4 linked regions of the Alligator mississippiensis genome follow. The main gene of each other region encodes a partner of the protein of the gene in region 3 in a complex. Links are inferred from orthologs where the notes say so. Each region holds a gene or a part of one and is shown on either strand. Other genes may lie near its edges. The genes, in order: surfeit locus protein 1, SMIM20, TIMM21 and TIMM17A.

Evidence for each region.
Region 1: TIMM21 (region 3) and surfeit locus protein 1 share a complex: the UniProt entries of both Homo sapiens proteins name them as parts of the MITRAC (mitochondrial translation regulation assembly intermediate of cytochrome c oxidase complex) complex. The link is inferred for Alligator mississippiensis from reciprocal best matches to the Homo sapiens genes TIMM21 and SURF1.
Region 2: TIMM21 (region 3) and SMIM20 share a complex: the UniProt entries of both Homo sapiens proteins name them as parts of the MITRAC (mitochondrial translation regulation assembly intermediate of cytochrome c oxidase complex) complex. The link is inferred for Alligator mississippiensis from reciprocal best matches to the Homo sapiens genes TIMM21 and SMIM20.
Region 4: TIMM21 (region 3) and TIMM17A share a complex: the UniProt entries of both Homo sapiens proteins name them as parts of the TIM23 complex. The link is inferred for Alligator mississippiensis from reciprocal best matches to the Homo sapiens genes TIMM21 and TIMM17A.

The regions. Positions count from the first base shown.
Region 1 is NC_081835.1:60,871,604-60,879,150, forward strand, and holds the start of surfeit locus protein 1, read right to left. Parts: upstream 3,007-7,547; 5' UTR 2,960-3,006; coding exon 2,900-2,959; intron 2,676-2,899; coding exon 2,597-2,675; intron 1,955-2,596; coding exon 1,827-1,954; intron 1,475-1,826; coding exon 1,392-1,474; intron 684-1,391; coding exon 492-683; intron 155-491; coding exon 82-154; intron 1-81. Other genes in the region: SURF2 (surfeit locus protein 2), read left to right, coding at 3,155-3,238, 3,442-3,596, 4,342-4,445, 5,579-5,767, 6,370-6,542. UniProt on the Homo sapiens protein: Component of the MITRAC (mitochondrial translation regulation assembly intermediate of cytochrome c oxidase complex) complex, that regulates cytochrome c oxidase assembly.
Region 2 is NC_081825.1:39,731,930-39,739,409, reverse strand, and holds the start of SMIM20 (small integral membrane protein 20), read right to left. Parts: upstream 3,002-7,480; 5' UTR 2,954-3,001; coding exon 2,845-2,953; intron 1-2,844.
Region 3 is NC_081826.1:107,906,202-107,913,956, reverse strand, and holds the start of TIMM21 (mitochondrial import inner membrane translocase subunit Tim21), read right to left. Parts: upstream 3,011-7,755; 5' UTR 2,781-3,010; coding exon 2,489-2,780; intron 1-2,488. UniProt on the Homo sapiens protein: Participates in the translocation of transit peptide-containing proteins across the mitochondrial inner membrane.
Region 4 is NC_081837.1:29,732,002-29,739,378, reverse strand, and holds the start of TIMM17A (mitochondrial import inner membrane translocase subunit Tim17-A), read right to left. Parts: upstream 3,020-7,377; 5' UTR 2,936-3,019; coding exon 2,910-2,935; intron 1-2,909. UniProt on the Homo sapiens protein: Essential component of the TIM23 complex, a complex that mediates the translocation of transit peptide-containing proteins across the mitochondrial inner membrane.

The sequences.
Region 1 (7,547 bases), on a different chromosome or scaffold from region 3:
ACCCCTAGTCTAATGCCTCAGCTGGCATATTAACAGTTGCTTCCAGGGTAGCGGGTGAGAGATCTAACTGGTTCCTCTTACCTGACCATTCAGTCTGGTCTCTGGTTTCAACTTCTTTTTTGGGACAAAGCCTCGGTTCACTAGGATTGTGATACTGCAGGTACAAGTAAGAACGGAGAGAGAAAAATAAGTGTTAGCAAGAGAACTCCCATCACTGAAACTACATGCCAAAAAGATTAGCGATCTACGTGTTTGAAAACCACTTTCCAGGTAACAGGAAGCAAATTAAAATGGGTTTTAAATGCACTTGGAAGTCAAGGGTTACCAACTGAGTAGACCATCTGAGAGGCTTTTTTCTTTTCTCTTGTATACATCACTGCTCTCCTTTGAACTAACCTGACAGCTGCAATTCAGCTGCTGCTGGGAAGAAACAAAGTGCCTGCTGCAGCCCTGCATAAGCCTAGAGTCCTCCAGCTAGTAGCTGAACATACCCAAGGTCTGTGCAGTAGAAGGGAGTAATGATGTTTGCTCCATTGTCCGGACTGGATGTCAGTCGTCCAGCTTCTCTGGCCTCTCGCTTAGGATCTACCCGTGAACGTGGCATAACGTAGAGCTCTTTGGAGTGATCAAAATACCCTCGAACCTTGACAGACCTGTACTCCAGCTCCTTCAGCTCTGCAGGGCTGTAAGGGAACAAGATGCACTGGGATGAGAGCAGTCTCTGGGCCACCAGAGCCAGACAGTTAAACCTTTAGCGGAATTACGGGGTCCCCTCTGTTTTTTTATTCCCCAAATGGACAACTGGCAAATCAACTGAAGAAAAAAAAAAAAAAGGATCAGCAGTAGCAGACAGAGAAACAAAATCCCCAATGAGTTAAGCATCCGACTACAGTTTAGCAGCACGCTAGTGAATAGCATGAGTTGTTAGTATCCTGGGTATACCCAGGTGTAATTCCTGTGTCACTGGCAGAACTCAACACCAGCTGGGAAGGGCCTTTTTCCTGTAGACATAGCATGTGGAGGTCAAGTCAACAGTAATTCTCCTTCCCTTCCTGACCCTTGAACCTTGACACTCTATACCAGATGGCCACATGCACTTGTTCTGTGCCTCAGATTTGTCTGAACAGTGCAAGGACCTTGTCTATCCACATGGCTTTTTGTAACACGTGCATTTTTGGTAGCACATAATGCTTTCCAGGGAAGCATTCACAGCTCATGTTTAAAATAAGATGAACCACCATATTTTTCTTTCTAGTTTGTCTACACTGCTTGCTGCTCCCATGTTGTCTATTAGTGTGCAAGTTCCTCAGGGCAAGGACCATGTCCCAAATTCCTAGTAGATTGCTGATGCTACATGAATCATCAAGTGTAAACCCAGCTTCTACACTTACTCTGAAGGCAGAGGAACAGGCTCTGATCCAACTCTTGACTCGAGGTCTGCAATCAGTTTCAACTTCCTCTTCCGGCGCTGGACCTGGGAACACACAGCAATGGCATCATCATGGGGGCTGCTGCTAATAACTTCTTGCAAGTTTGAAAACAAAATTCATGTTTTCCTCAATGCTGGGATCACACTGGTCTTTAACAGGATAATTGGAGACATGAAAATTGAAATACCTATTTCCTTGCGGGGATGGAAAGTAAAATTAAATTTTCCAACAAAAGAATTGCCTGGACTTGTTGAAACAGCCCAAATTAAAGATGCCAAACAACACTGACTAATTTTTATTTTGACACGGATAAGTCCCTCTGGCTGGCTAAGGCAGTTCTCAACTGATACCCATGTGCGTACTTTGATTTCTAAAGAGTGAAATGTTTTCATTTACCTGCCATGTGCCAAGGCAAAATGTGGTCACAGGGATCAGTAAAAGGCCCCACCTGAACGCAACATCCTCTCCAGATTCGATGACATCTGCTGTGCCACTTTTTGGTCTCCGGAGTCTCAAACAAACGTCTGGAGTGAATTCAAATTAGAAACACAGTTACTATAAGAGAAACCAGCTTACCTCCCTGCAGGGTTTGCAGCATCAGGAACTGATGTTTACCAAGCTTCCCAGCTACCATGCTACTGACTCGGTCCTAATGTTCTCTGACTCCTTTAATTAAGCTATTTTACTTACATTATCTACTCTACACAGTGATACTGTATTGGAGGCTTAAGTCTTCAGACGACATTATAAATCATCTCAGCATCCTTTGACAAGCGTAAAAGACCTCTATTTATGGAACCTCTTCATTTCAATTAATTCTAATGCATTTTACACACGGGCAAGTGGTGCCTCCCAAGTCCGGGGGGCACCAGATTGCCGATTGGGGGGGGGGAGGGGGTGTCACCCAGTGGCCAATTACCAAGCCAGCAGCAAAACTGGAAGTGCACTTCCAGTTTCATGGCTGGCACTTCCAGGGGTGCACGTGCACCCCTAGCATCGCCAATGATTTTATATAACTGCCAAAACACAAGCTTTCCCCCTTTCTTCCTCATGTCACATACTATTGGCAAGCAGCACAGGTAGAGAAAGCTGCATCAGACATCCCCGGCTGGAACACGACGGCAGCTGAGTGTCGGACCTGAAGGAAAGACGACATTTTTCCTTACCTTTAGATCCCTGTAGCAAACCGGACCGTGCTTTTGTACGAGGATATGCAAAAAACGTCCTGACCGAAACATTTGGTATCTAAACAAAAGCAAAGAGATGCCGTGTCACGCCCCTGCTTTGCGCGCTCGAGCCTCGAGCGATCAGGGCGGCTTCGGAAGATGTTATTTGCTGGGAAAGGGAGCTTGAAATGATCCAAAAGGATGATGTCATGTCTAGGGCCCGAGCCGAGAAGCAGGGGGGCTGGCAGAGGAAGGGGGGAACCCCCCTGCCACCCCCGTCCCGCCCCCCCCCCGCGCTCCCACCTGGGCACAGCCCCGGAGCTGCAGCAGCCTCCCAAGGCAGCGCCCGCCGCCCGCAGCCATTGTCCACAGCCGCTTCCGCTTCCGCTTCCACCGGAAGTGGGGACTCACTGGTAGAGACTGGTAGTCTCTATGGTTCCGGTGGTCGCGGGCACATCTACTTCTGCCGGAAGTGGGGAGTGCCCTAGTGACAGCGCGTCTCTATGGTTCCGGCGGCCGCGGGCACTTCCGGTGGGCGGGGCGCGGGGCCTTGGGGCCATGTGCGCGCTGCCCCAGGACGTGCGGCGCTTCCTGCAGCGGCACCCGGCGCTGCGCCCGCTGGGGCCGGGCGGGGACACCCGGGTGAGCCCAGGGGCGGGTCCCCACGCGGGGGAGCAGCGCGGGGGGGGTGACACGCGGGGGGGTGCCGCTGCGTGGCAGCTGGTGTTCAGCTTTGGGTGGAGCAGGAATCAGAAACCGCCCATGCCTGGACCGTTGTCCAGACCCTGCGTGAGGGGCGGGTGCAGGAGCTGGCGTCTCACACGTCTCTTCCCCCCTCGCCCCAGGTACGCTGCGAGCTGACGGGGCATGAGCTGCCCTGCCGGCTGCCCGAGCTGCAGGCCTACACCAGCGGCAAGAGGTACCTGCGGCTGAGCGGGACACCTGGCGCCTTCAACTACAGCGACTACGAACCCCACATCGTGCCCAGCACCAAGAACCCGTGCGTAACCCCGTGCTGGCGGCTGGGGCAGGGAGGAGGCCTCGGTGCTTTGGAGGGAAGCTGCTTGCTGGGCTGGGAAAGCTTTTGCAATGCAGCTTTGCTGGCTGTTGCCTTCGAGCAGGGGTGTCGAACTTGCACAGGCCTCGGGGCAGCGTCGAACTGTGCGGGCTCCCCTGGGCCCAGCAGGGCAGGTCTGCGTTCAGGCAGCAGAGCGGGTCCAGGGATGGCCAGCAGCCAGGCAAGCGAGGGTGGTGTCTGCATAGCCCTCTCTCCCCCTGTTGCTGGTGGGCATGTGCAATGGGGGCCTACGCACCCCGAATCCTGTGGCAGGACATGCTCCACTGCCCACACCGGTTGTCTGCTGGATCAGCAGCAAGCCGGCTGGAACGGTTCCGTAGGCCATGTTTTGACGCCCCTGACTTAAACCGCCCACCCAGGAGCAATGTGAGAGGCAAGGACTCTCACAGGTGATGTCTGTTATTGGGGCAGCTGCTTGGTTGGGACAGGCTTAGACCGCAGTGCCCTCCTTCGGGTCTCCATCTGCTTCTCTCTCAGAGGCCCAAGATTTGTGATATCCCAAAAGCTCATCTAAATCTATCCCCACCATAAAAGAGAGGACCCACAAGAGTCTGAGCCTCTTGCATGTTTTTTGGACCGTCACGGCTACAGCGTTGTTTCATTACTCAGACGTGGACCGTTCCATTTGCTGACTTTGCTGTGCTCACATCCATGTCTCTTCCTGTAGACACCAGCTGTTTTGCAAGCTCACGCTCAGGCACATCAACAGGGTCCCGGAGCACGTGCTGCGTCATGTCCAAGGGAAGCGCTATCAGAAGGCGCTGAAAAAATGTAAGTGGTGCTAGCGCCTTCTGCAACATCTTTCTTGATCTGTACTCGTGGCGCCCAGCCTGGTAGGTGGGAAGTGTTGGGGAAGCTCTCGACAACTTGCCAGTAACAACAGCACTCCTGCCTGCTGTTTGCAGTTTTTTTCTCTAGTTGGCAAAGCAGTGTCTTTGCTTTAGAGCAGAGGTTCTCAGACCTTTTTGTACTGCAGCTAATGCTTAAATACAGAGGTTGTGCAGTGGATGCTTTTCTATCTATGGCATCATGTGGTATCTCTGGCATTAACACTGAACATACAATTATGGGAATGCCTAATATTTTAACTCCCTGTCAATACAGTTTAGCAGCTGGAGAAGCCAGCCCTGAGGGATTTGCCAGCTGTCTGCATGTCCCAGCTTGAGCACCTTACGTTCAGCCACCAACTAGTGGAAGTTTGGATGGTGGCTTATATCTGTGGGGACTTGATGAGAGTCAAGATGAGCCTGGCAGTGTTGTTTTATCAGTAAAGGGACTGAAGCTTGTAGATCTCTGGTGGCAGTGTTTGGCTCAATTAGGTAGTGACTGAATGCCAGTCCTACCCGACGGCTGCTTGTTGGCCTGCATGTAGTGAGCTTGGTGTTCCTGGGAACAAGTGTTTGCTTTGTAAAAGCCAGCACCCCCTACCATGGGAGGTGTTTGTGTTTGTGTTTGCATCCCAGAAGCTAGGTTTGAATGGAACGTGCAGACTGAATTGCGCTGCCACCGCTAGAGGCATGTCCTGGTCAGAGTAGGAGCAGGGTGTGAAGGAAACTGCAGTGCTGGACTTCTCTGGACAGAATAGACTTGGGTCTCTGGGGATGTTTGGCTCTTGCAAAAGGTGTCAGGCTCGGTGCACACCCCTGCTACAATTGCTGCCAGGGCAGCAAGATTGAAGTGCGCGCTCCCATTTTGCATCCATTGGCTTTGGTGTCTCCCTAGGTCTCTGCAGGGGCATGGTCTGTGAAAGGTGCAGTTGCAATTCATACTGCACTGACTAGCTACCCAGGACCTTGCTGTACCTCTGGTTCGCTATCTTCCTCTATTAGGCCAGCAAGCTGCTGAATTGCTTGCATTTCTGTGTGTGATCCTAGCTGAGTCCCCCTGTTCTGTTCCCTAACTAGATGAGGAGTGCCAGAAGGAGGGCACGGAGTATGTGCCTGCTTGCCTGCTGCAGAAGAAGCGGCAGCGGCGGCATGATGACCAGCCGAAGGGGAGCAAGCCGCCGTGCAAGAGGGGGGATTTCTGGGAGCCCGCGTCCAGCAATGAGGACGAGGAGGACAGTGACGACAGCATGAGCGACCTGTACCCACGTGAGCAAAGCTTTGGCGTTTCTGAATATTGTAAACGGACCCCCTCTCCTCCCTCGGTCCTTCCTGGCACTCACTAGAAAGGCAAGTCTGTTTCAAGTGCAGGGGGGCTGGACCCGATGACCAGCCCCTAACATCTACGAATCCCCATTAGCAGCACAGGGAGTGGGATGAGGAGAGGACTTCTTGGTCATGCGTAAAAATGGGCAAGACTCTATGGAAAGAGGCAGAACTTTGCTACTTTGAAAGGGCAGCAGCAGGAGCGGGCCAGGATGGCAGTTCTGTTGATGCCTGGCCAGCGGGGAGCCCACACATTAGAGGATCATGGGCTGAACGTCTCCTGTACTTGGATTACTAAGGGTCCTGGGCCCATTGCTACTGATGTGCTGTCAGCTTATTTGCCTTCCAGGTGTTTCAGTAGTAACATACCAGTTGGTCACTGAAGGCCTTTGGTGATAGAGGTTGGAGTCTAATGCTTCAGCTTGGTCCGTTCCCCCATTAGGATGTCCCTGAAACCCCTGTTAGGATGTCTCTGAAGTGGAGTGAGAGCAGGTGCCCGTGTGAAGCAGAATCTGGCCCCATCTGGGTCTTGCCTTGTGTTTTAGCTGAGCTCTTCCCAGAAAAAATCCCAGCAGCTGCAGGACGTGGGGAAGACAGCGACGACTTTATGACAGACAGTGAAGAAGACAAGGCCAAGCCGGCTGGGGAAAATGGGGATGTGAATGGGGAGAAGAGTGAGAAAATGGACCTGGATGGACAAGGCAGCAAAAGGGGAAAGGTGAGTGCTGCACTGCTGTGGAAAGCAGTGACCCGCGTTGAGCTTGGGACATGAGGTGAACCTCTGTATGGGAGCACAGGGACGGTATCCTGCATGTTTGCACCAATAGTCCATCTGCTCTGCTGACCTGTGAGAGGGGCAAATGAAAGCCTAACATTTCCTTGCATGGAAGTTTCTAACAGTGAGCAGCTGGCGTAGACCATAAGCCTACCATTTCTTGGTAGACATTCATCTTCCTGAGGCTCTTTGTTCCTGTCTGTGTAATTATCAGATCTCCATATCAGCCCTCCTACACTTTGCTTTGAAAAGCAAGGGGATTGGGCTGTAAAATCTCTTCCCCGCATTAATCAAATCCCTTGACATAGGGTTAGTATATTCGCTCTTATTTCCCCAGCTCCCTTCAGTAACTACCCAGATGCTGTACAGTGGATCTCCTCCCCAGAGTACATCTCTGTCCTGATCCTGCACATCTTTGCATCCAAATCCCTGCTGTGTGTTTGGGAAGCAGCTGGACTTCATGGCCCCTGTATATAGCAGGTATAGGGATTTTGGAAAAATCCTTGCTGATAAGTCCAACTCTAAAAGAAAGTCCTGAGCGAAGGAAGTGGATTCCTTGCTGTTAGGAACATGCCAGTCTTGGGAGATCAGAGTCTGTGGTAGTTTGATTCACGTCTGCAGCCAGGTTGGCAGTACAGGAAAGCTTTGCTATTTGCGGGTTTGGCATTTGCGGTTTCAAATATTCGCGAATGCCGAATTCTCATTTTAAATGCACTTCATACACTTACAAGCACTCCTCAGGAGCTTTGTGATTGCTCCCGCTGGAGCTGCGTCCCCCTGCCCCAGCGCACATGAACGCAGTGCCTTATTTGCAGATTTCGCCATTCGTGGGGGGGATACAAAAACGTATCCCCAGCGAATGGGGAGGGTTGCCTGTATTGCCATTTAACGTGACGACAAAGCGGAGGAAGGGTACAATAGCTTGCAGATTGTAGGCAAGGGTTGAGG
Region 2 (7,480 bases), on a different chromosome or scaffold from region 3:
CACCATTCACTTTCATGGTTGCTAAACAAACATCTATTAAAACCAGCAAAAAATGAAGGTTAAGGCATGAGGTGCTAGTGAATACTTTTGTGCCCAGCAAAAGTGATACAAAATTTCTCTCTCACAGCAATGAATGTCAAATGTCAGTTTCAGGTTCTTATAACCAAACTGCAAGGAAGCCACATGAGCGTAACAAGCTCTTGTGCTTCTTTAAATGCTAAAATAAATAAATAAATAAATGTATATATAGAGATTTTACACACACAAAATCTTTAAAAGTTTATTTATTTTTACTTCAGCATGGTTGTGAAGTAACATGTTTTGGACACCCAAAAGTCGGATATAATTGGAGATTATCCATTATACATATGAGAGGTTCCCAAACTTTTTCTTATTGTGTACCCCTTCCAGATTTAATCAGCTGCCCCCATGCCCCTACTACCATACATTTTATATTTTAACCCCTTAATGACAATTATTATAATGGACATTAAAATCCACTGTTACGCAATTTCTCCAGTGTACCCCCTAAAGATGTCACGTACTCCCAGGAGTACACGTACCAGTTTGGGAACCCATGATATACATGATATCCAAATATATCCAACTTCAGGTGTCTGAAGCACAATACTTTAAGGTGTCCAAAAATCATGCTATAAAGTTGGGTATACCTGGGGGGGGAGAGAGAGAGAGAAAGAAAAAAAAAACAACACAGTCGCCAAATATATCCAACTTGAGGTGTCGGAAGCATGTTACTTCACAATCATGCTGAAGTAAAAATAAATACACATTTTATTTATACATATAGGTAAATAAATAAATAGTGTCTTTTTTATTTCCTGACACCTGAAGTGTGATATACACATAGATCTCCAAACATGTCTCAAAATACAGTCAACTCATGGGCATCCAAAAGTTATGCTGTGAAGTAAATAAATATACAAACATATAAATATACAAACATAATTGAAGATGCAGACAGAAGTGACAATTTTCATCCAATCTCGCCACAGAAAGCAGTCTATAGCTGTGACCAAACAACTGCTCGGCTGCAGACAGCTTAAAAATGGCCAATCTGGTGAAATCTGACCCTTCGTTACATGAAGTATCAAATAAAGATATTTCAAAATATAGCGCCTTCTGTAACCTGTGTCTGTGGAGCTCCCAGCCCGTCGCTGCTTTCAGAATGGGAGGAAGGAAAGGGAAAAGGAGTTCAGTCTGGGGGGGGGGGGGGGGGTTGACCCCGGGAGGTGGGGCAGGAATATTGGAGCCCCCCCGCCAGAGATGGGGGGGCCCAATTCACCCACCTCACCCTTCAGCACCAGCAGGGAGCCCCGAGAATGAGCTCTCCCCATTGCCGTTCCCCTTCCCATTCTGAAAACAGGGAGCACTGGCAGAGTGCCCTGGCCGTTGCTATGGGAACCTGACTGCAGGGACAGCTAGATTCCCCTCCCAGGGGAGGGAAGGAACATGGGGGGGCAGATCGAGGCCCCCATGGTGAGGGAAGGAATGGGGCAGGAGCAGGAACTGCCCAGCCAGGGCGGTGAATGGGACCCCAGGGCCAGGAGCTGGATGGAGTCGCAGGCAAGTCGTCTGGGGGCAAGGGGAGGTAGGGAGGGAGAGTGGCTCCCCACCACAGCTAGTGCCCCTGGGAGATGCATGGGGGACATATTCCCCCCCAGACTTGTGCGCGGGTGAGGGTGGACTGTCTGCTGCGTGCTCATGGCCAGGGGCAGCACCAGCCTCTTCCCAGCAGGGGGACTGGGATGGGGCTATGCTTGGGCGGGAGAAGGGCAGACTCAGATGCATGGGGGAAGGTGGCAGTGCTGGGAGGGTTGGCTATGGGGTGGGGGAGTGGGGAGGCTATGGGGAATTTTGTGATTGCTAGAGCGCACCCCCAGCACCACCCTTGCTTAAGGCACTCCACTCTACTGCCTTTTCCCTCAGGGGCCCCTCTGGCCACAAGTCCCTGCCCACCCCACAGCAGGGGGCTCCTGAGTGAAAGGCAGCAGAGTGCCCAGAGCAGGGGCGGTGCTAGGGGAGGGGCTTTGGGGGCTCTAATCACCCCAATAGTTTCCATAGCCCCCCCATAGCCAGCCTTCCCAGCACCACCACCTGCCTGTGCAGTGGAGACTGTCCAGCCCCCTGCTAATAAGAGGCTGGCACGTCCTGGGCCAGCAGTGGGCAGCCCACCCTTGCCCCATGCACAAATCGGGGGCGGGGGAAGGGGACACATGCCTCCATGGACGAGCCACCTGTGACTCCAGTGACTCCACCCTGCTCCCAGCCCCAGGATCCCGTTCACTGCCCCACTCCCTCCCTCACCACCCTGGCCTCCATCTGCACCCTCATGCCCCTTCCCAGCAGACTTATTGGCAGGGCAAGACACTGCTCTCCAAACTGCCAGGCTACTTTCTTAGCTGCTGCATGTGCCAGCTGCGGCTGCACGTGTGCATGCGGCGTTTATTGGGGATGTTTCTGGCCAAAAAAAGCCGACTACCAGTTACATTATTTTTCCAGTTGTGGGTGACCACTCTCTCTAGCTAGAAGTGTGGTGCTTTGCAGAACAGGCTCGGAGGCACAGCCAAGAGTTGCACGTCCCTCTACCCCCTGGCCTCCCCTTCGATGCCACCCACCGTGCCCACCAGGGACGCGACAAAAAGGGGCGCAGCCGTGTCCTCAGGCAGGGACTCGCCCTCTCCGACTAGAGCCGGGAGCCGCCAGCGCCCCCTTGCCCCGGCCCGCACGGAAAGGGGCCAGTGGCCCCGAGGAAGCGACGGGCGGGGCGGGGCGAGGCGTCCCGCTGCACCGCGCTGGCAGGGCGGAGCCCGCGGGGCCACTCACTGTAGCGCTCTATCTGCTGCAGCGGCAGGACGTAGATGGGGTAAACCACCGCCCCCACTGCGGCCACGAAACTGCCGAAGATGAGCAGCGCGCGGGAAACTCGCGCCATCGCCGCCGGAAGTACCCGCTTCCGCGGGGCGCGGGGCACGCCGGGAAGAACTTGCGTCACGGCAACGCCCTCCCCCTGCGTGGGAGGTGCCTCTCCTGCCCCGCATCCGCCCCGCCCCTGCTTGACTTTGACATCACTGAGTTGATCTTGTGCGTCACGGTCCCCCCGGCACGCGCTGCCCTTCTCTCCTACTCGTCATTTCCCTTCTTGTGGGTGTCGCCTGCCGGGTCTCACCTGGGCCGGTAGCGGCCTGGTGCATCACCGCACTCGCATACTGCACGGGCCTTTCCACCCGCCCGAGCCCAGCCACGCGGGAGCGGGCAGTGCGGGGGGCCCGGGCCAGCCCTGACCCAGCTGCGCTGGGCGGCGGGGGCACGGCCCCACCCTGGCCTGGCGGGGGGAAGCAGGCGCGGGGCTGGCGGTATTAACTGCCGCCACGTGTCCTGGCCTCCGGGGACCCGCACAGGCCCGATTCCGAGGGTTTGCGCTCCGTTTGGCGCATGGGCTGGAGGCTGAGCGCCCAGAGGCTAGACCAGGGGTAAGCAACGTTTTTTGCCCGGAGTGCCGAAAAACACCACAGTGCCTACCTTGGAAGGTGCCGCGGTGCCGGCAAGGGGTACATAGCAGGATGCCCTGCTTGTGCCCCTTGCCCCCCACCCAAAGCCTCTTGCCCCATGCCCTGTGCCCCCACCTCTACTGCCCCTCGCCCCCCACCCAAAGCCCCTTTCTCCCAGCCTGGGCTCTGTGGCTGTCAGCAGCTCCCCAGAGCCGGGGTCAATTGCAGCCGGGAGGCTCCAAACAGCTGCGCGGGGCCCCGGGCTCCGGCATCAGCTCCGCACCGGCGCGTGCGCCTGCGTGTCAGAGCTGACGGGGCTGAGGCAGCGCAGCCCCGGCCTCCCCCCACCCCGCTCCCGGCACGGAGGTGATGGCGGGCTTCCAGAGCCCCGCGCAGCTGTTTGCAGCCTGCCCCCTGCTTGCTTGCTGCAGCTGCCCAGAGCCCAGGCTGGCTACAAACAGCAGCGCCGGGCTCTGGAAGCCCGCCATCACCTCCGTGCCCGGAGCGGGGTGGGGGGAGACCGGGGCTGCGCTGCCTCAGCCCCGCCTTCGCCGCCTGCTCTAAGGCGCGGGTGCAAGCGCCAGTGTGGAGCTGATGCCGGAGCCCGGCACAGCTGTTTGGAGCTCCCGGCTGCACCCGCCTTGGCTCTGGGGAGCTGCTGCCAGCCGGGAGCCCGGGCGGCTCCCAGCAGGCAGCTGGGATGCTGCAAGCCCTGCTGGAAGCATCTTAGAGCTGGGGCTGGCTGTGGGTGCTAAGCAAAATGGCCTCGCGTGCCATGCTTGGCACAGATGCCGGGGGTTGTCGACCCCTGGGCTAGACAGTGGATTTGTACAAGTTTCCTTGCTTTATGCGGTACACGAATTCCTGGAAAACAGCGCATAACTCAATTTTGCATAAAGGGACCCACTTTATGGTGTAAGAAATAGGGATACGTTCCAAGACCTTGACTGTTCTGACTCCCAGACCCATTTCTGCCACTTTTACAAGACAATTCTGGTACTCACCAACAGGGCACACTCATAATGGGGATGGCAACTACAGAAACACATGTCTCAGACAACAAGTCAGGAGCACAGAACCACACAAGAGACTATATTTTAGTGCGCATCACTCCTACAATGCACTGCACAAAGCAGCTGACTGCAGGCTTCCACCACACCAATCACATAAGAGTGAATTTACCTCGCATATAATGTATTTTTGGTATAAAAAGGGTTGTTGCATAAGAGCAAATTCACACATACAGAACCCGCATAAAGCGAGGGAAACCTATAGGCTGGTTTGGATAGGGATGATCCTTCCTTAGGCAGGGGTTGGACTAGGGTGCATCCTACAGATCAGTGATTCTCAACCAGGTGAGGCAGCACCACTGGAGTGTCTTGGGATTGTCTCAAGGCTGTAACAAGGCCATGCCATGTTAGCACTGTTATTTTTATTTTATTGCTCTGTTTTATTTTAGTCAAAAAACAAGAGCTGGCAGTTTTGGAAGGGTGCCTTGGGTCTAGCCAGGGGTGCCTTGAGTCTGAAAAAGCCCAAGAACCACTTCTATATCATAATTGAATAACAGTATAAGAGCTTTCATGAGCAGCAACTCACTTCAGTCTCCCTTTAGCTTAGCTCCCATGTTTCCTTTCTAGTTGTTAGACTTAGTTGTGTCAGGGCTGACTGTGGCTTTGCTAATAGGTTAGACAATGCATTTGGATAGGATGGTTTGGATAGGGATGATACTGCCTCTGACACGGTTGGATTAGATGACCTCTGGAGGTCCCTTCCAGACCTACTTTTCTATGATTCCATGACATCATGATGCAGAAAAGCATATAAATGTGAGGGGTATTAAACACAACAGAAATGCTGCTAAAGTTGCAGGCTTAAGTGAATACAGGCGGGTACTATTGAGGTTTTGTAATATTTTTATCTATGATCTCAAATAGTAGGGGTAGGAGGCCAAATTGATTTTTTCTGCAGATAACCAGTATGACATGGGTGTTAGAAAAATCCAGTCCCTTACATACTTTGAAGGGTTTGTTGTTTTTTAAAGAAATGTCAGCCAGTCTTCTCTGATTTCTAAGAGAGGTCATCTTATATATATATATATATATATCAGAGGTGAATTGAGAGATTTCTCTGTCATTAGCAGAAGGGGTAGCAGCATTTAGATGCTTCTCTGTGGCAGTAGGGGACAGGACTAGGAGTAATAACCTCAAGCTCCAGCAGTAGAAATTCGGGCTGAAGATTAAAAGGAACTTTCTTACTATGAGGGTGGTCAGGCTGCCTAGAGAAGTTGTGAAATCTCCATCCTTGGAAACTTTCAAAAGCAGGTTAGACACTTGGCTGGGATGCTTTAGTCAGGAATGATCCTGCTTCAAGCAAGGAGCTGGATTAGATGACCTTCTGAGGTCCCTTCCAGCCATGAACACCGCATGCCCCCAGAGGCTGGGGGGTCATGACCGCCCGCAGGTGTCAGAGGCAGTGGAGGAGGGGTCAGTTGGCAGCAAGTGAGGAGCTCCCGCAGGCGGCCATGGCAGTGTCGGCAGCGGGTGGTGGGGAGAGTTGGCGAGCGCCAACCAGCAGTCAGCGACCACTTGCAGTTGCTACCGAGGGGGGGTGCCACTGGGTGGGGAGGAGTGGTGAGTGGCAACCACCCATAGGCACCGCTGGCAGCGTCTGCAGCGCTTTTTGCAAGGGGTGCACATGCACCTGCATGCAGCCCCTATGCATCACCAGTGCTCCCAGCCCTACTTTCTTATGATGCTATTTAACAGATAGCTTTTCACCCAAGCTGTTTTCTTTGGAGTTTGTGTTATATGTGTTATCAAAAATATGTCAAACAGGCCACCCCTGTCAGTTCATCACCTTTCATTTGCAGGGTATTCCTATCAAAATCTACAATTTCTCCAGTTGTCTATTGAGGTGATGTTTTGGAATCATTTCAGAGCTATTTTATTTACGTGTGACATACTATAAAGGCAGTTGTATCAAGGGAAATTGTTTCCTAATGTCCCTATTTCAATGGATGCATTTCCAACAGAATCATTTGAGACAAGGGATTAATGCAAAATTCCATGACTAGATATGCCAGTTCTCAGCCTTTGAAATTCTTCCCTCCATGGGAAAGCTTTTACCTGGCTCAGGAGAACTGTACCTCTGATCCTCCAAAATATATAAAAGAACAGCTGAATCTGAGGGAGACATACCAACTCTGAAACAACCAAAAGCAAAGACGGACTCAGACAGTGTACCTGCCCTGGCCCAATGACAGCCATGGGCAATACCTGCTAAGCTTTGGATGTGTAGACTCATGTAGACACCTTTTCCCATTGTGGAATACTGTTCTGGCCCTGATTAATAGGACTGTGAGAAATTTCACTGGCTGTTCATTTTGACACTGTTTCGACTCGTTTCAAGCTCGAAACAGAAAAATTGAAATGAAACGAAGGGCTTCAAAACAGCCTTGAAATGAAATGAGGGCAGTTGAAACTTTTTGAAAGTTTTGAAACATTTCAAAGCTGAAGCTGGGCTTGCCTGCAGGGAAACAGAAAGTAAGGAGAGGGATGGGGAAGAAGGGGGAAGGAATGCTCTGTTATTGACTGTGTAGCTGGCCAGTGACTGTGATCCTTCCCTGAGATCCCTTCCAATCCCAGTGCTCTGGGGGAGGGATGGAAAAACAGAATAAAAGGCAGCATTGTTTGAAATGGCCTGCTTTCTGCCTTGGGGTCAGTTACTGAGCTATCTTCCACCTCAGGAACGTTAGACAACAAAGGCTACTACTAGCATTGATTTGATTTCCTACTTGCTAGCCTAGCAAGTGGGATTCCTCAATACCTTTTGCTTTCTTTCTAGACCCATTAATTTTATTATAATATTAATTGATTTATTCTTTTCAATTTCATAATTATGTTGCATATTATACTATAGAATTTATATAGGAAGGCACATATACATTTATAAATTTTTATTTTTACACATTT
Region 3 (7,755 bases):
GTTGGCTTTCAACTGTGGTGCCTGAAATGCACCTAAGTCCTTTTTTTTCAAATAGCTATGCCGCTTTTTTTTTTTGTGTGCATGTGTGTGTGGGGGGGGGGGTAAGACTCCTTTCCTCCATTTTGCAACTAGATGGAGCAAATGTTTCCACCTACATTTCTCTGGCGAGTAGTATTTTTCATAGATGCAAAAATGTAGCATAAGGAAAGCATTTCCTATTTTCAATGTAACAGTTGTAACTGCATTGTTAAATAACAACAAGAACTAATTACTGGAAGCTAGAGCCAGGAAAATGCAGACAAGAAATAAGGTACAGTCAACACCTCTCAGTAGCAACAGCCTAGTGTTCTGGTGCTCTGCGGGCACGGCTGCATGGGACGCTAAATGCACGGCAGAGTAATTCTACCATGTATTAGTGCGTCACGGCAAAAGCCATGCTATTGTGCTAATGTGCAGTAGAATTGGTCTAATGCACATTACTGTCACTTAAAAGGCATGCGCTACTGCGCAGTAGTGCCTGTTACTGTGCATCTAGTTAGTACCTGTTATTATAGGTACTAAACTTAATGTGCAGTAACTACGGCATATTAATGTACATGTAGACGTGCCCTGTTGCTCCTAAACTGCTCTTGCTCCGGTATAGATCACTGGGAATATTTTCACTGCTGTGTATTCAGATGAAATGTGGCTGTTGCTTTAACAAGCAATTGTTGCAAAAAAGGCATTACCTGTATTAAATTTTCAAAATGAAGGCAATTAATCATTTGAACAAATGACCAAAGTAAATGGTACATCTGTTATCTCTTAATTCCTCAGATCAAGACTGGATTCCTTACTGGAAGATCTGTTTCAGTCAGATGTGTTGTATAGGTTGATACAGGGGTAATTAGTTAAAATTTAAGAGCCTGCGATACGCAGGTCAGACTAGATTTTCTAATGGGCCCCTTGGGCCTTAAAATCAGCGAAATTATAGAGCCAGTGCAAAGTAATCACCCAGCTATTTATGGACTGCTCTTCAGAACCACTCACTTATGTCATTAAATTCAGACAGGTTTTAATCTTCAGGACATTATGTGGATATAGAATTATTTTCTGAACTGTTTCAACCACTTGCAGAGAATCAATTCCTAGAATATTAGTCAGCCAAGGTGTTTAAATCCTCTCTGTTTTTTTGCAGTAAGTTTAAGGTTCTGTTCAATACAAGTAAATGTCTATATTGCAGATTGCAATGTAGTGTGGAAACACCCAAGGGAAACAGAAATTTGGCAGCAAGCTTATGCATATAGCAGGCCCAGTCATAACGGATAAAAAAGGTTAGGAAACTCTGCAAGTTACTACAAAATGTTAAGTCTCCTTCTCTTGGTCTAAATCTAAGAGGCCTGTTATTTAGCCATTTATTATGCATCAGAAAGATTATAATGGCATCTGAAATATAATGTGCACAAATGGAAAATTACTGGCTGTCCAGTCACATCCCATTTATAGCAGGAAAATTTTCTGAAAATGAAGTCCCACTGACACTAAGTTTGCTGATAGTGAACTAGGATTAGCAAAACTGGACGTGTCCCCCCCTCTACTGTACATAGGTTACCAGAGGCCACCCTGATTTACACTGGGTGGGTCAGGTCCTGGCCTCACAAACCCATGTGTTGCAAAGAAGTCAACCAATGCAACGGGTGGTAATGCAAGGGAAATGTTACCCTGTGAGAGATGTACCTATAAAAGTTAATAGTGTATAAAAAAAAGGAATCAGGACTTGTGGTAGAGGTGATATCTTTTATTAGACCAACTAGATTTTTGCAAAAAAAATAATCTTTAATTGCAATTAAATTTCTTTAGTTGAATTAAACTGCAATTTAATAAACGTAATTACACTGCTCTAGTTGGTTTAATAAAAGATATCACATCTACCACAGATCACAATTCCTTTTCTCCTCTAGACCAATACAGCTACAACCTGGGTACATGAACGTCGCATGACTCCCGAGGCTGGGGGGTGCACAGCAATGTTGGTGGTGAGGCCGTGCCGGCGGTGAGTGGGAAACTTCTGCAGGTGGCCGTGGCAGCGGTGAGGGAAAGAGGTGGCGAGCACTAACCAGTGATTACCCGCAGACACTGTTGGCAGTGTTGGCGGCAGCCAGTGGCGATCAGCAACTGCCCGCGGACACTGCCAGCGGTATCGGCAGCGGGGAGGGGAGGCGAGTGGCGAGTGCCTACAGGTGTCGGTGGTGGCCAATCTCAGGGGGTGAACGTACACCCTCTACGCGTCGCCAATGCCTGGATACCTAACAGTGTAGAAAGCAATTCAAAACAAGGCAAAGTAAAGTCAAGGAGGGGAGGAGGGAGAGAGGGCTGAGATGTAGCAGTCTTCCTGAATGCTGCAACTCTCAATTGCAATTTTGACACTCAATTTTGCACCACTGCCCTCGTGTGACACCATCTCCATGTTGCTCTGAATTGCTACTGGCTTAAAAGGGCCTCTCCTTACCTTTCCGAGCAGGTGACAGAGATGCTTCCTCTTTCTGGCTTCTTTGCACAGACACTCGTTTGCTGTTATTCTCAGCTCTCAGGGACCCTTCCTGGGTCCAGAGACTTTGCTTTGCGCCTTGGAGAAATATACGAGGGCGCCGCACACCTCTGCGGACAAGTTCGTGTCTCCCACTGAAACACGACCAGGTCCTTAAAAACACTTTCCCATGGGGGGCAAGAAACCACTTTCCTGGGGAGAGCTGTAGCTTCTCGCTGCACTGAATCACTCGCATGAGGGAAGCAGAAAACATGCTGGGGCAGATCAAGCCTTTGAGAATGCTATAGGCTCAGATCAACGCAGCTTCCTTCAAGCTAAGGCTAACCTCACCTTGCTTGCTGCTGAGCTGGTGCAGCCCCTGAGAAAGCAAGAAGAACTAGAGCAATCTTTTGCTTTTTGTCTTGCCGGCTCACTCAAAACCCCACATTCCCCTTTGCTCGCTGACATTTGCAACTTGCCCCGCCATTATTCCTTGCAAAGTCCCTGTGATCCTGGGAAACGTAGTTTGCACAAACTCTTCTGCTGCCCCGAGTTAAGGGGGTTGGAGGCCAAAAGACTACAAGTCCCAGAATGCAAAGCACCAGCCCCTGCTGTTGAAATCAGCAAGATCCAGGACACGAATCAAATCGAAAGCCACTGGCTTGGGCACGGGGAGCACGTAGGTAACGTGCTGCTGCAGCCAGGGTTAGGCATTTGGTGTGTTCCCTGCTTTGCCAGTTTTCAGTGTTTTAGAAAGGGGTTCAAACAGCTTTTCTTTTTCAACGTTTAATGTCTTAACAAGGGTTGTTAACATCTTTTCTTTCATTAGGGTTTTGCAAAAATGCAAGTTGCTCCTTGCTTTTTGCATGAAGCTGTAAAAGGGCAGATCAGGAAGTATTTCTATTCTAGAGGAAAACTGGTGACGTAAGGTCCCAATACTGCAAAGACTGGATGTGCACTGCAAAATTAGGGGTTAGGGTTGAAAGGTTTTTAACATGGGAATCTGTTCATTAATTGCATAAGCAGGAGTGTGAGCATGCAGCAATCGGGCCAATTCGATTTATTATTTGCCTTCCTTTGAACTTTACCCTTGTGGTTAGAGGTTCTGCTTTTAAACTGAGGATCAAATCCAGCAATCACATGGCTGATTTATGTGGTCACCTAAAGTGGCTCTGCATGCTGATTTACCCTGCTGTCTACCCAATTTATGGAATGATTATTAAATGCAAAATCTAGAAGTACCAGTTGGGGCAGGAGATCAGAACCCAGCACCCATCTCTTTGAGTTGCATTTCCTTCAATTTGCTTTACTTCTGGCTCTTGGTTTTCAGTTTTTTAAGTTTCAAGAGGAGTCCTTCTCCATGGCCTTGCAGTTGGTATGCTTTGCTATGAAACAGGAGGTACAGGTTTCAAATTTATGAAGCAGCAGGTAGGGTGCTAGAAGCTGAATTTTCCACTTCCTGGGCAAGTGCCCTAACCACTAGGCCAGCATTTCTCAATCTGGGTTGTGACCCAAAGGTAGGTTGCAAGAATATATGAAAGGGTGGGGAGCGAACTTTATAAATGGATCAACAGACTTTAAAAATGGACTCTCCTTTAAAGGAAAAAAAAATGGGAAACTGTTTTTTCCATTGCAGGCTGGCAGAATTCCAGTTTACGAGGGGCTGCTTGCTCCCTCCCCCTCCCCCCCTCCTTCCTCACACCCCCTTTGCCCCATACACTGCGGGGCTGGGGCTTGGGGTCTGGGTTGAGGCAGCGGGTTGGGAGTGAGGGGTACTGGGTTGGGACTGGCCATCAATGGCTACAAATGAGTTCTGGTACAAAAAAGGTTGAGAACTACTGCACTAGGCTATAGGGCTAAAATTGGGATTATTATTTTGGGATTATGCATGGAGTTATATCCCTGGCTGGAATGGGAACACAATAGGGTGGAAGGAGTTGGGAGTGGTTCCTGTGCACAGAAGGGGAAGGTGAACTGTGCAGGGTGGAGGTGGATCTAAGATTTGCATAAATGACCTGAAATGCTGCTTTCTTAGTTAGCTGTGGCAATATAAGGGCTACTGACCTGCCTAAAGGGAAGTTATAGAATCATAGGCAATTAGGGTTGGAAGGGACCTCAGGAGGTCATCTAGTCCAACTGCTTGCTCAAACGTCAAACAAACATAATCTCTCTCATTCTTTTCCAAGCTCCTTTGTCTCTTATTGTAGTATTGTTTTGTATGAAGTTACACAATTATCACAAAGCTGAGTATCTTAAAACCCTATTCTACAATTAAGGCCAAGATCTTTATTAATTGTACCTCTGCAACCTCACTGAATTCAACTACTGTGTATTACAAAGGTACTATAGAAGACAGAACTTGAGTTTGGGTGTGTTTAATTTTATAAAATATATTTACACATTTTGGGGTATGTGTATATAAAATGCACAACAGCAATATACATATTTATTATTTATATAAAAATAAATAAAGCCACTACTCAAACATATCTTAAAATATTTTGTTCAAACTTTACATGAAAATGAACCTCTTTAGGGAATTTGTTTAAGAAAATGATGAGCAACTGAAATATAGAATATATAATAGGAGTTAGATTTCAGCCATAACCACATATATGTGTAGTTCAGAGGTGTCAAACATATATGGCTTGTGGGCTGCATCTGGCCTATGAAGCCATATGGTTCTGTGACTTATGGGCCAGATCAACCCCATGTACTGGCCTTAGCCCCCTGCACTGCATGCAGTATGTGGTCTAGACTTGGCACTGTGTGTCCTGCACACGGCACAGGGGATCAGTCAGGGGAACACAGTGCATGTTGCACTCTGCAGGACCAGCCCTGCATACTGGCTCTGACCTGGTGTAGATCAGGCTGTGTCACATATAGCATGTGCCCTATACTGGACCTCCCTGCCATATGCACAGCGAGGCCTGGAACCGGTGTACGCAGCATGCAGGCTGGACCTCATGCTGTATGTGCTGCACACAGAGTTGGTCCCAGTCTGCTCACAGACTGCCCCAGGGATCCTCATCTGACCCGTGGAGCTGGATGAGTTTACAACCCTTGGTGTAGATGATTTCTTTGGTTCCACTGATACCAAGTGCCTCTCAAACTTTACATGTTGGTATAAAAATACATTTAAGGATCAAATTAAAATAACAGTTAACCATATGCTAATAAATCTACTTTGTTGGAAGAATCAGTCCCAACACTGCAGGTACCAAAATGGCTATTTTGGAGATGCTAGTCACAGATCTGTCACTTAGGTTTTGTTCTTAAAGCAGACAAAGTATTTATTATGCATGCAAATGGCAGCAATTGCTCTTTGAGAATAAATGGAACATTCTGAGAATTTGGAAGTAAATCTGTTAAATGGTTTAGGCTTAATTTTAATTATTAGTTGGGTCCTGTAAGAAATTTAGCAGCAGGTGTCAGACCTTTTTTTAGTCTCAAATTATCTTAATAGCAGAATAACTCTGGCAGTTCAAACTTCCCATATAGTTTAAATTCACAGAAGTCTTTTGACTCGGTGGCTGCTTCTGACTTTTCTTTCTTGAGGATGGATAGTAATACTTGCAAATTATTCTTCCAGCAGAAAGCTTCTCCTTTAGCCAGCGCTGAAGAGTAAGTTTCTCATAAGTTCTTCAGAGAACTCCCCCTCTCTAAATATGACAACTTGTTATTATTCTCAGTGATCCTGGAGCCACAGTTTGTACTCAGGTGGCCAGTATGAGAAGGCAGAGTAGACTGGCACCTTTGCCAGTGGATCTCAGCCTTTTTAGACTCAAGGCACCCTTGGATAGACTTGAGGCACCCCTTTGATTTCTGCTCCACCCAAAGTTTAAAATCAACTGCCTGGCAGTGACAGCAGCATTTCTCAATAGGCAGTGCTGAGTGAGTCACTTGAATCAGTCAGGGGGTTGGGACTGGATGACCTCTGGAGATCCCTTCCAGGCCTACTTCTCTATGACTCTATGACTTCCTGGCTCATTATCATCTACCTGATCCCTCCTAAACTTTTCAATCTGTATGTGTATAGCATTCCTCCCTTCTTTTGAATAGGCTTGGTGTCCAACCAAGCAAAGGGATTGTGCTATGCTATGCTGCTGCCTGTTCCCTGCTCCTGGTGAGGCAGCTCCTGTCTTATAGCCTTGTGAATTAGTTTTCAACTCATTCCAATGAAATTCTCTTTGTTTCTTCTTCACTCTAACACTAAATAATACAGCCCTGCCTGGGTCTCTAGCCTGTTAGGAAAAGTGTCTAATTTCTTTTTACCTAGAGAGAAACACCTGTAGTTTTAGATGCCATGATGCCCCTCACCAGGTGTATCACCCCCTCCCCCCCCCCATTTTTTAATGTCCTAGCACTATGGCAAGGTTCATGCCATTAGCCTACAAGAGTACTTTGTAAAATCTAGAGCTACTCGTGCTCCTACTTCAGATCAGAAGTGCAGCCATGAAAGATCCAAATGGCAGCAGTCCTAGCCCAAGCATCATCAGTGAAGATGTGATTATTATTAATGGTCACGCTCATGAAGATAACAATGCATTTGCTGAATACATGTGGATGGAAAATGAAGATGAGTTTAACAGGCAGACAAGAGTTATAGGAAGAATTTATTGAACATTGTTTTTAAGAAATGCTGGAAAAGGAAGAGTAACACAAATGATTTTATTCCCACTCGAGATCTCCCACAAACAGGGTGCATGTACATGAGAGGTTTACTGCAGAGCTGATTAATTAGCTCCACAGTAAAGTGTTAGCATCTACACATGCGGTACTATTTGACTGAAATAGACTAAATAACTCGGCCATAGGACAGTACTGCCCAACACGGGTATGATCCTATGGTGGAGTTATTTACTTTGCTGCAACACGCATGTAGATGCTGACCAGGGCTGACTGGTGCATTAGGGTTGCCCCACACCACAGCACTTTTGTACCCCAGCTAGCCCCTCCACAGCATGTTGAGTCAGAGCAGCCCCAGGCTGGCAGGCGGACCACCGGCACCCCCCGCCTGCTGGGGCTGGTCTGCTGTGACTCAACATACTGTGGTGTCAGGCGCACCTGTAAAAGCAACGCAAAAAAACTCCATTGCAAACTGCACGGGAGTTTTTTTTTGCATCAAATTGGTTTCACAAGTAGACGTGCCCAGAGTGGATCAAATCCAGGGCCAATTTAATAGCCTTGCTATCAGCGACAGCTCATCACGGGAGGACGTGATGATCAAGGGTCATCTGAGTCCGAGC
Region 4 (7,377 bases), on a different chromosome or scaffold from region 3:
AAACACACTTAGCAGCACTTCTATACCTAACATAAACTTTTTTTTTCCCTGGCTTAAGGCTAAATTAGTTTTGAATTGACTGGGCCAAGCTCAATTGTTCAAATCTGTGTGGCTGTACCACTGGGCAAGTCTCCTCCCTCCTGGACCCATCAATCTGGAACTTAGGAGACTCCCCAAATACATAGCAAGCATCCTACATGCAGGCACCAATTCCAAAGGTGTTACAAGTTCAGATACCTCCTAGTCATGCTTCTCCTAGCCAGAAGGCCAAAGGAACACACCAAGGAGAAAATACAATCACAATCTCCCATTACCACAGAACTGTGCAGCTGATTTTCCCACATTTGGGAAACTTGCATAGGTCAGCCTGCCTGGAATGCAACAGAGAAGCTTCATTCTGAGAAAACCTGGTGATCATGGTAGTACCCCTATCAGGATATAGCATAAACTATACATGACATTATTCCAAAGCCAAAAAGGCTCATGATTTACAAAAGGCTCATTGGACTGGACCCCACCAGAGTCAACAGCACGTCAAACCACTGTGATTCCACAGCTCAGCACTGTTCAGGATGTACATGTATTCTAGATACCCGCAAAGGACCGACATGCCGAAAAGCCCTCCACATGTCTGGAACTGTGTGTTCTTATGAGGAGTCCTGAAAAATTTATATGCAGATGAGACATAGGGCAACCTCATCCAGCTTCATCTCATGTACGGTGCGGCCACCCTAATCACATGCGCCAGGCTGAGAGAGGGGCAACAGAGGAATTCTGGGTGAACTGTCTGAGGCCCTGTTTGGTGATGTCTGCCAGACATCTAAAGGCTGGTGAAGAAACAGTAATCATTGGAAATGGGAAAGATGGGATGTACTAACCTATCTTTGTATATTGTGTGGGGGGGAAAGAAATCAAAGAATGTAACCCCTCAGGGGAGAGGTTTAATAAAATAAATGGAAAGACGAGTCAAGGCTGAATAAATATAAATATGTATATATGTAGACATACATGAATATAGACGAATAAATGCATATAGATAGAATGTACGGAAATGGTAAAAGAAAGAAAAGAATTTGCAGATACATAAAGGAGACATAGGTATTATGTCGTTGTATAAACTTAGAATTGAAGTTAAGTCAACATGAAAATAAGTGCTCGTGTGTCATAAACATGAGGAAATAGATTATGAAACTGGGTGATTCAAGACAGATGGAGAAGTTTATATATAATTTTATTTTGGGAATCTATGTTTATATGTATATCTGGTAAAGCGATGTTTGCAAGTGGAATAAAATTTTATATTTTCTATTAAAAAAGTACATTATGTGTGGAGGGGGAGGATACATGAGGTTTGGTTGGGTGGTTTGTGGGGGTGTGGTGTGGGGTGTGTGTCACATACCCCCGTTCCCCCATGGTGCCAGCAGCAGTGGCAGCCCTAGCCCTCAGGGTACTCATGGCCTGTGTCAGGTGGCACCCTGGGCAGTGCACAGCTCCAACTGAGTCCCGGGAGTTGCATGTGGCAGCACAGAGCCGGCCTGGCCTCGTCCAATGATGTGTAGCTCCCGGGCTGATGGCACACAGCTTCCTACTGGAGTGCTAGCAGCTGCAGGGAGCCGTGCACCATCAGTCCGAGCTGGCTCCATGCCATGACATAGGGCTCCCAGCACTCCAGCGGGGAGCTGCATGTGGAGGCACAGAACAAGCCCAGCCCAATGGCATGCAGCTCCTGGCTGGAGCACCAGGAGCCACACCTGGTAGCACAGGGCCAGCCCAGCCTGGTGAAGTGCAGCTCCCCATAGCTCCCAGCTGGAGTGCTGGGAACTGCAGGGAGACATGTGCCATTGGGCCAAGCCGGCTCTGTGCTTCCATATGGGGCTCCTGGTACTCCAGCAGGGAGCTGCACCTGGAGGCAAAAGGCCAGTCTGGCCCAAGGGCGCACGGCTCCCAAGGCTGCAATTCTGGAAGAACAGAGGAACACAGCCAGCCCAGCCCAGCCCCATGGCGTGCAGCCCCCATCTGTAGTGCCAGGAGCTGCACATGGTGGCATGGAGCCAGCCCAGCCTGAGCTGCATGTCCTTGGGCCGGGCCGGCTCTGCCTCCATGTGGGCTCCTGGCTCCAACACCCCTTCCCTTGGGATTGGGTGGGTCAGGACAGGCTGGGGGGGAAGGAAGGCTTAGCAACCAGAGCCCGACCTGCTGCTGCAGCCAGCACCTCCTGCAGCCCATCACTCCCGCCGGCTTCCCGAGGGGCAGCGCTGGGATCCGACCAGTAACAACGGTCCACTAATAAGCCATCTCTGGAAGGGCTTTTTCCATTTGCTGTTCCTTCCCACACGCAATACGGGCCACTACTAAGTCTCTGCCTGAACAAGAATCTGAAACGCTGCCCAATTTAGTTGTCTGACATTACCATGCCCCTCCCTCCCCAATACAACCCTGTTAAAACAGGAGAACGAAAGAAAACGTCAGTCACTGCAGCACAAAACTTCACGCCGGGGCTGCGACTGTCCCAAATGCGGCCCCGCAAAGAAACGTCAGCGTTTTTAAGAAACCCGAGCACCAGGGAGAGCGTTTCCCGGAGGACGGAGCACAGCTGCCAGCGAGGCCGAGCCCGGCGAGTGTGTTGAGCCTTAACCTTCACCTCCACCCGGCCGCGGCGGGTCCAAGGGCAGTCAAGGCCCCAAGCGCCCGGCGGCGGCCATGTTGGGCAGGGAGGCTCGTCGGGAGGCGCGCCGGGCGCCGGCGGTGCGTGGCTGCGAGTCCAGCTCGGCCTCCGCCGCGCGCGGGACAGACGGAGGCGCCGGGGCAGCCCAGGGCCTCCCCGCTGCCTCGTGCCCAGGCCGCCCCCCGCCCCGCGGGGCCCGGCTTCCCTCAGCCGGGCTGGGCGCGGCCCGCTGGGTCCTGCTCACCAGGGATCGCGCACGTACTCCTCCATGGCGCACGCGGTAGCGGCAGAACCGGCTCACGGGGCGCATGACGCACCGCACGTTCGCAGGGGACCCTGGCGCCACCGGATTGGCTCCCGGCCTCAGGCGCTAGCCAATGGCGTTCGTCCGAGTGACGCTTCAACGGAAGGGGTTGGGCCCCGCGGAAGCCCCGCCCCCCTTGGCAGAGGCGGCGCGCGCAGCGCCTAGGCGCCGGCGGGCTCATGGTCTTTGCCCTAAGGAGTTAGGACGCGGTACAAACCCGTGTTGTGAGGCGGGGTGGTCATTTCATCTAATCCTCTTAACTTCTTAAATGAAGGTAGATGTGCACGTGCTGCAAACGGAATCTAACAACAAACTTTAATATTTACAAGCTCCTCTTTTACTATCTCTGAACACAGGTAGATGTGCTAGACACCTAAGGACTGGGGGGAAGCAGCTTTAATTCCAAGTGACGTGGCGTGCCTGAGGATCCTGTAACTGAGGCACCTATTAACTGTGGGGGAGATTCTTTAAAGGAGTTATTAATAGTAGGGGGATCTGGGAGTTGCACTAAGAAATAGCTGAAAGCTTGAGCGGTCGTGATGTTGAAAGGAAATAGCGGTACAGGGAGCAAAGGACTTAGAACATTCTTTCAGAAATGTGCTCAAGCTCTATAAAGAGTAAATAAGTCAGTTTTAATCATGAACGACTGGTGCCTCCCGAGACTGGGGGGCACCATGGCAGCGAGCGGGGACCACCTGCAGCCCCCGACGTCGGTGTCGGCAAGTGGGGACCGTCTGCAGATGCTGCTGGTCACGTCAGCAGTGGGGGAGGGAGTGCAAGCAGCAACTGCCTGCAAAAGCCAGAGGCCTATCTCAGGGGGGGCATGTACCCCCCCACCCTGTACCTCCCCTAAAATCACCTATGGTTTTAATAAACTGTTCTAATTTAATCTTACACATTTAGCATTGTAGGAATTTTAAAAAAAAATTTTCCTAGCTTGTTATTTTTGGACGCAAGTGATGCAAATATTGTCATGGATTGAGGCAATGGAATAAATAAAAACTTTCCCCCTTTCCCTTTACTCTTTTTGGAGTGGTTAAAAATAGTTTTGCATATAGAAGATACTGGTTCTATTCTGAATTCTGCAACTTTGCTTTAAGAGGAAGCAGTGAAAGGAAAGGGTGTATAGTGATGTGGTAATAACGGAGGATACCAGAAGGTGGTAGTGTGGCTTCTGTAAGGACTGTGCTGAGAAAAGGACATTAGGAGGAAAAAATGGACAGAAGGAAAGAGTGGAAAACTGTTCCAGTCCAAGCTCTGTATCCTGGCTCTGAGATGTCCATAAAACCTGAAAAGTGATATTTCTAACGTGGAGTTCATTTCCCGTGTCAGTCTGACCTGTCTGATCCGATCCACCTAGTTCTGTATCCACTCCTACCTACCACTGTCATTTGGAAGTTGTGGAAATATTAGGTTAACAGTGGGTGCGTCTACACAAGACTATGTTGCTATAGCGATGAGCTACATTGCCATAGCTTGTTACTATGGTGACGTAGTGTCAGCAGGCATGAACCATGATGCCCAAGCTACTCTGCTGTAGCAATGGGTTACAGTGCAGTAGCATCAGAAACAACGTGCGCAGCTTTGGAGCTGCACAGTAACGTTGGTTATTGCACAGGCATTTAGTATGTGCTTAAGCAAGCACTAAATGATTGTGTGGTAACAACTGTGCAGTCCAACGCACATGTAGACGCACCCAGTAAGATTCAAGTTTTCCTAAAATGCTTCATGTCTTTTTCTCTGATAAATTAGGTACTGACTGGACCAAATGAAATGCAAGGGAACAAGCAGATCCACTTTCATATTCAGACTTTGAGGAAACTGCTCAGATTGGCCTCCAAAATCTATGGATTCTTGGACATACAGGGCACATCTACACATGCACTTTAATGTGCATTAGCCTACTTTAATGAACATTAAAGTGTCACTAAAAACCCATGGGCTCCTATACATGTGCAGGGAGCCTGCTCCAACACACTGGAATTCCAGTGCGTTGAAGCAGACTCAAATAATAGAGTCTGCTGGAGCATGGAAATTAATGCACTCTGGTAGCCTCTAGCATCACCATGTATCAGTGTCCCCATGCTGAAAAATGGGGGTGAGGCACTTTAAACTAAAGCTGGTTTGATGAGCTTTAGTTCAAAGTGCCCCACTGCCATTTTTCAGTGTGGGGATGCTGATACACATGACACTCTGGGCGCTTTTAATTAGCACAGCTCTCAGAGCTGCACTAATTAAAGTGCCTCCCCCCTCCCAGAGCACTTGTATAAATGCCCCATACTAATTAGTTGAAGCACATTAAAATAAGCTAATGAGCATTAAGCATCACTAAAAAAACTGTGTTCTTTAGTTAATGCCTCACAATGGAGGTACACCATGAGGTTAATACCTAACAATGGTATTCAATGCGCATTAACTAAAGTGCATTAATGCACATGTAGACATGCCCACAGTGTCCCACATACCATGGCTGCAGCAGTCATAACCAGGAATGTGACATGGGAAAGCAGAAACAGATCTAGAGGGGGTGCAGTTGAGCAGATAAACACTCTTTTCCAATCACAGGGTGGGAACAGCAACCAGGGATTTCTTGTAAGTCACCAAAAAGTAAAAATCCCATCTCCTTATCCCATCTCTTAGCACTCCCACCCTTCTGCTCCCTCCCCAGCAGCACTTCCCCTCCCTCCTGTTCCCCTGCTCGGCACTGTTGCTGTCCTCGGCTGATCCAGGATTGGGAGGCTCCAGAGTTGCTCCAACCAGGAACAGCAGCAGTGGGTTCTTCTGCACTGCCCAGTCTGTGTGGGTGTTCCCTTCCAGCTCAGGAGCAAGTACAGAAAGTACAGAGTGGGGGAACCCATTTGCCATCATTGTTGCTGTCTCCTGCAAAGCCTGGCTACAGCTGCACTGGAATCCTCCTCCACCCCACAACCCTCCCAAACCACAAGCTGAGGGACAGGCAGGGAGGAGGAACCTTGCTGCTGCTGCTGCTGCTGTTCCAAGTGGGAGCCAGGCAGGAGCAGCACTTGAGACCCCCTTTCCCCTTCCACTTCCAGATCAGTTGAGGACAGCAACAGTGACAGCACAGGGGCTGGTGGAGGAGGGGGAGAATGGAAGGGGAAAGGAAGGGACATGCTGTTGAGGCCAAAGGGAAAAAGAGTGGGTGCCAAGAGCACGGGGGATGAGATTCTTACCTTCTGGAGGACTTAGAACTGTCCTAGATCCCATGGTGCATTCTGTGGTGTGGTCTCAACTGAATTTTGCTGGTGAAATACATAACATCCTCAGATAGAATGTCCTTATACTTCTCCTAGCCTTCCTCTGTACACTGCTATATTATTTCTTTCTTGATGTTCAGAGTGCCTTAGAATGCATTGTTTATTTCATTACAGTGCCAATTACTCCTTCTAAATCATTAATTAAAATGTTAACTAAAACAAAGCCCAGTACTATTCTTTATGGTTTCTCACAAAACCCAGTCCTTCAGCTTGATTCTTGTTCTCTTCTGGCCTATTCAACTGTAAGAAAATGTGAGCTGTACTAATGTTTTATCAACCACTAATGTACGTTATGGATGCAGACTAGCACCATGACTGATTTCCAGATCCTTTGTGCATGGGATGAAGAGAGAGAGACTGATGGTATGTCTATACTGCGGTCACTGCTATGATTGCAATTTTTTTAGGCAGACATTCCTGAACTGGCTTTAAAACTAGCCAGTTCAATCACCACTAGCAGTGTGGTTGTGGTAAGACAGAGCTCAGTATGTGTTGCAAAACATACCAGAGTATCTAATCAACTTCCAAGGTAGGATTTTTAGCTTGCCCTGAAATCCATTCTACCACAGCTACACTGTTAGCCCTACTTGATCTGACTCATGCAAATCTACATCAATTATGTCTATACAATATCCTTAATGTCTCCAGGGGCTAAGTGGAGGACACAATGTGAAAACTGTTACACAGTTTAAAAGGAATGTACTGTGCCTCTCCAGATCCTAGTCTCAGATGATAAGAAGTTGAGCATGGATTGCCTGCTTGAATTGCTCTTGGCACTCTGACTGCCTGGCAGATGGTACTTCAGGAGCACAACAGGTAAAATCCTAGTGGTACTGAAGTGAATGGCGAAATTTCAAAGGGCCAGGATTTTACTCCAGGTGTATGATTAGGGTATTCCTTATGTAAGAGTGCAGGCTGGGGGTGAACTCCCAGCACATACTTCCTCAGCCCTTACACGTTATTCTGCCAAGGAGGAGCAGCCAATATATAGTTCCATATATGTCAAATAAACATTTTTATTTTTGCATGCACACATAGGTTTCTCATATATATTTAAGGGTACATCATTGTAAGGCCCTTTAATATACTGAGCACTTACAAGACAGCAGGTATACAGGGCATTGGGGTTATGC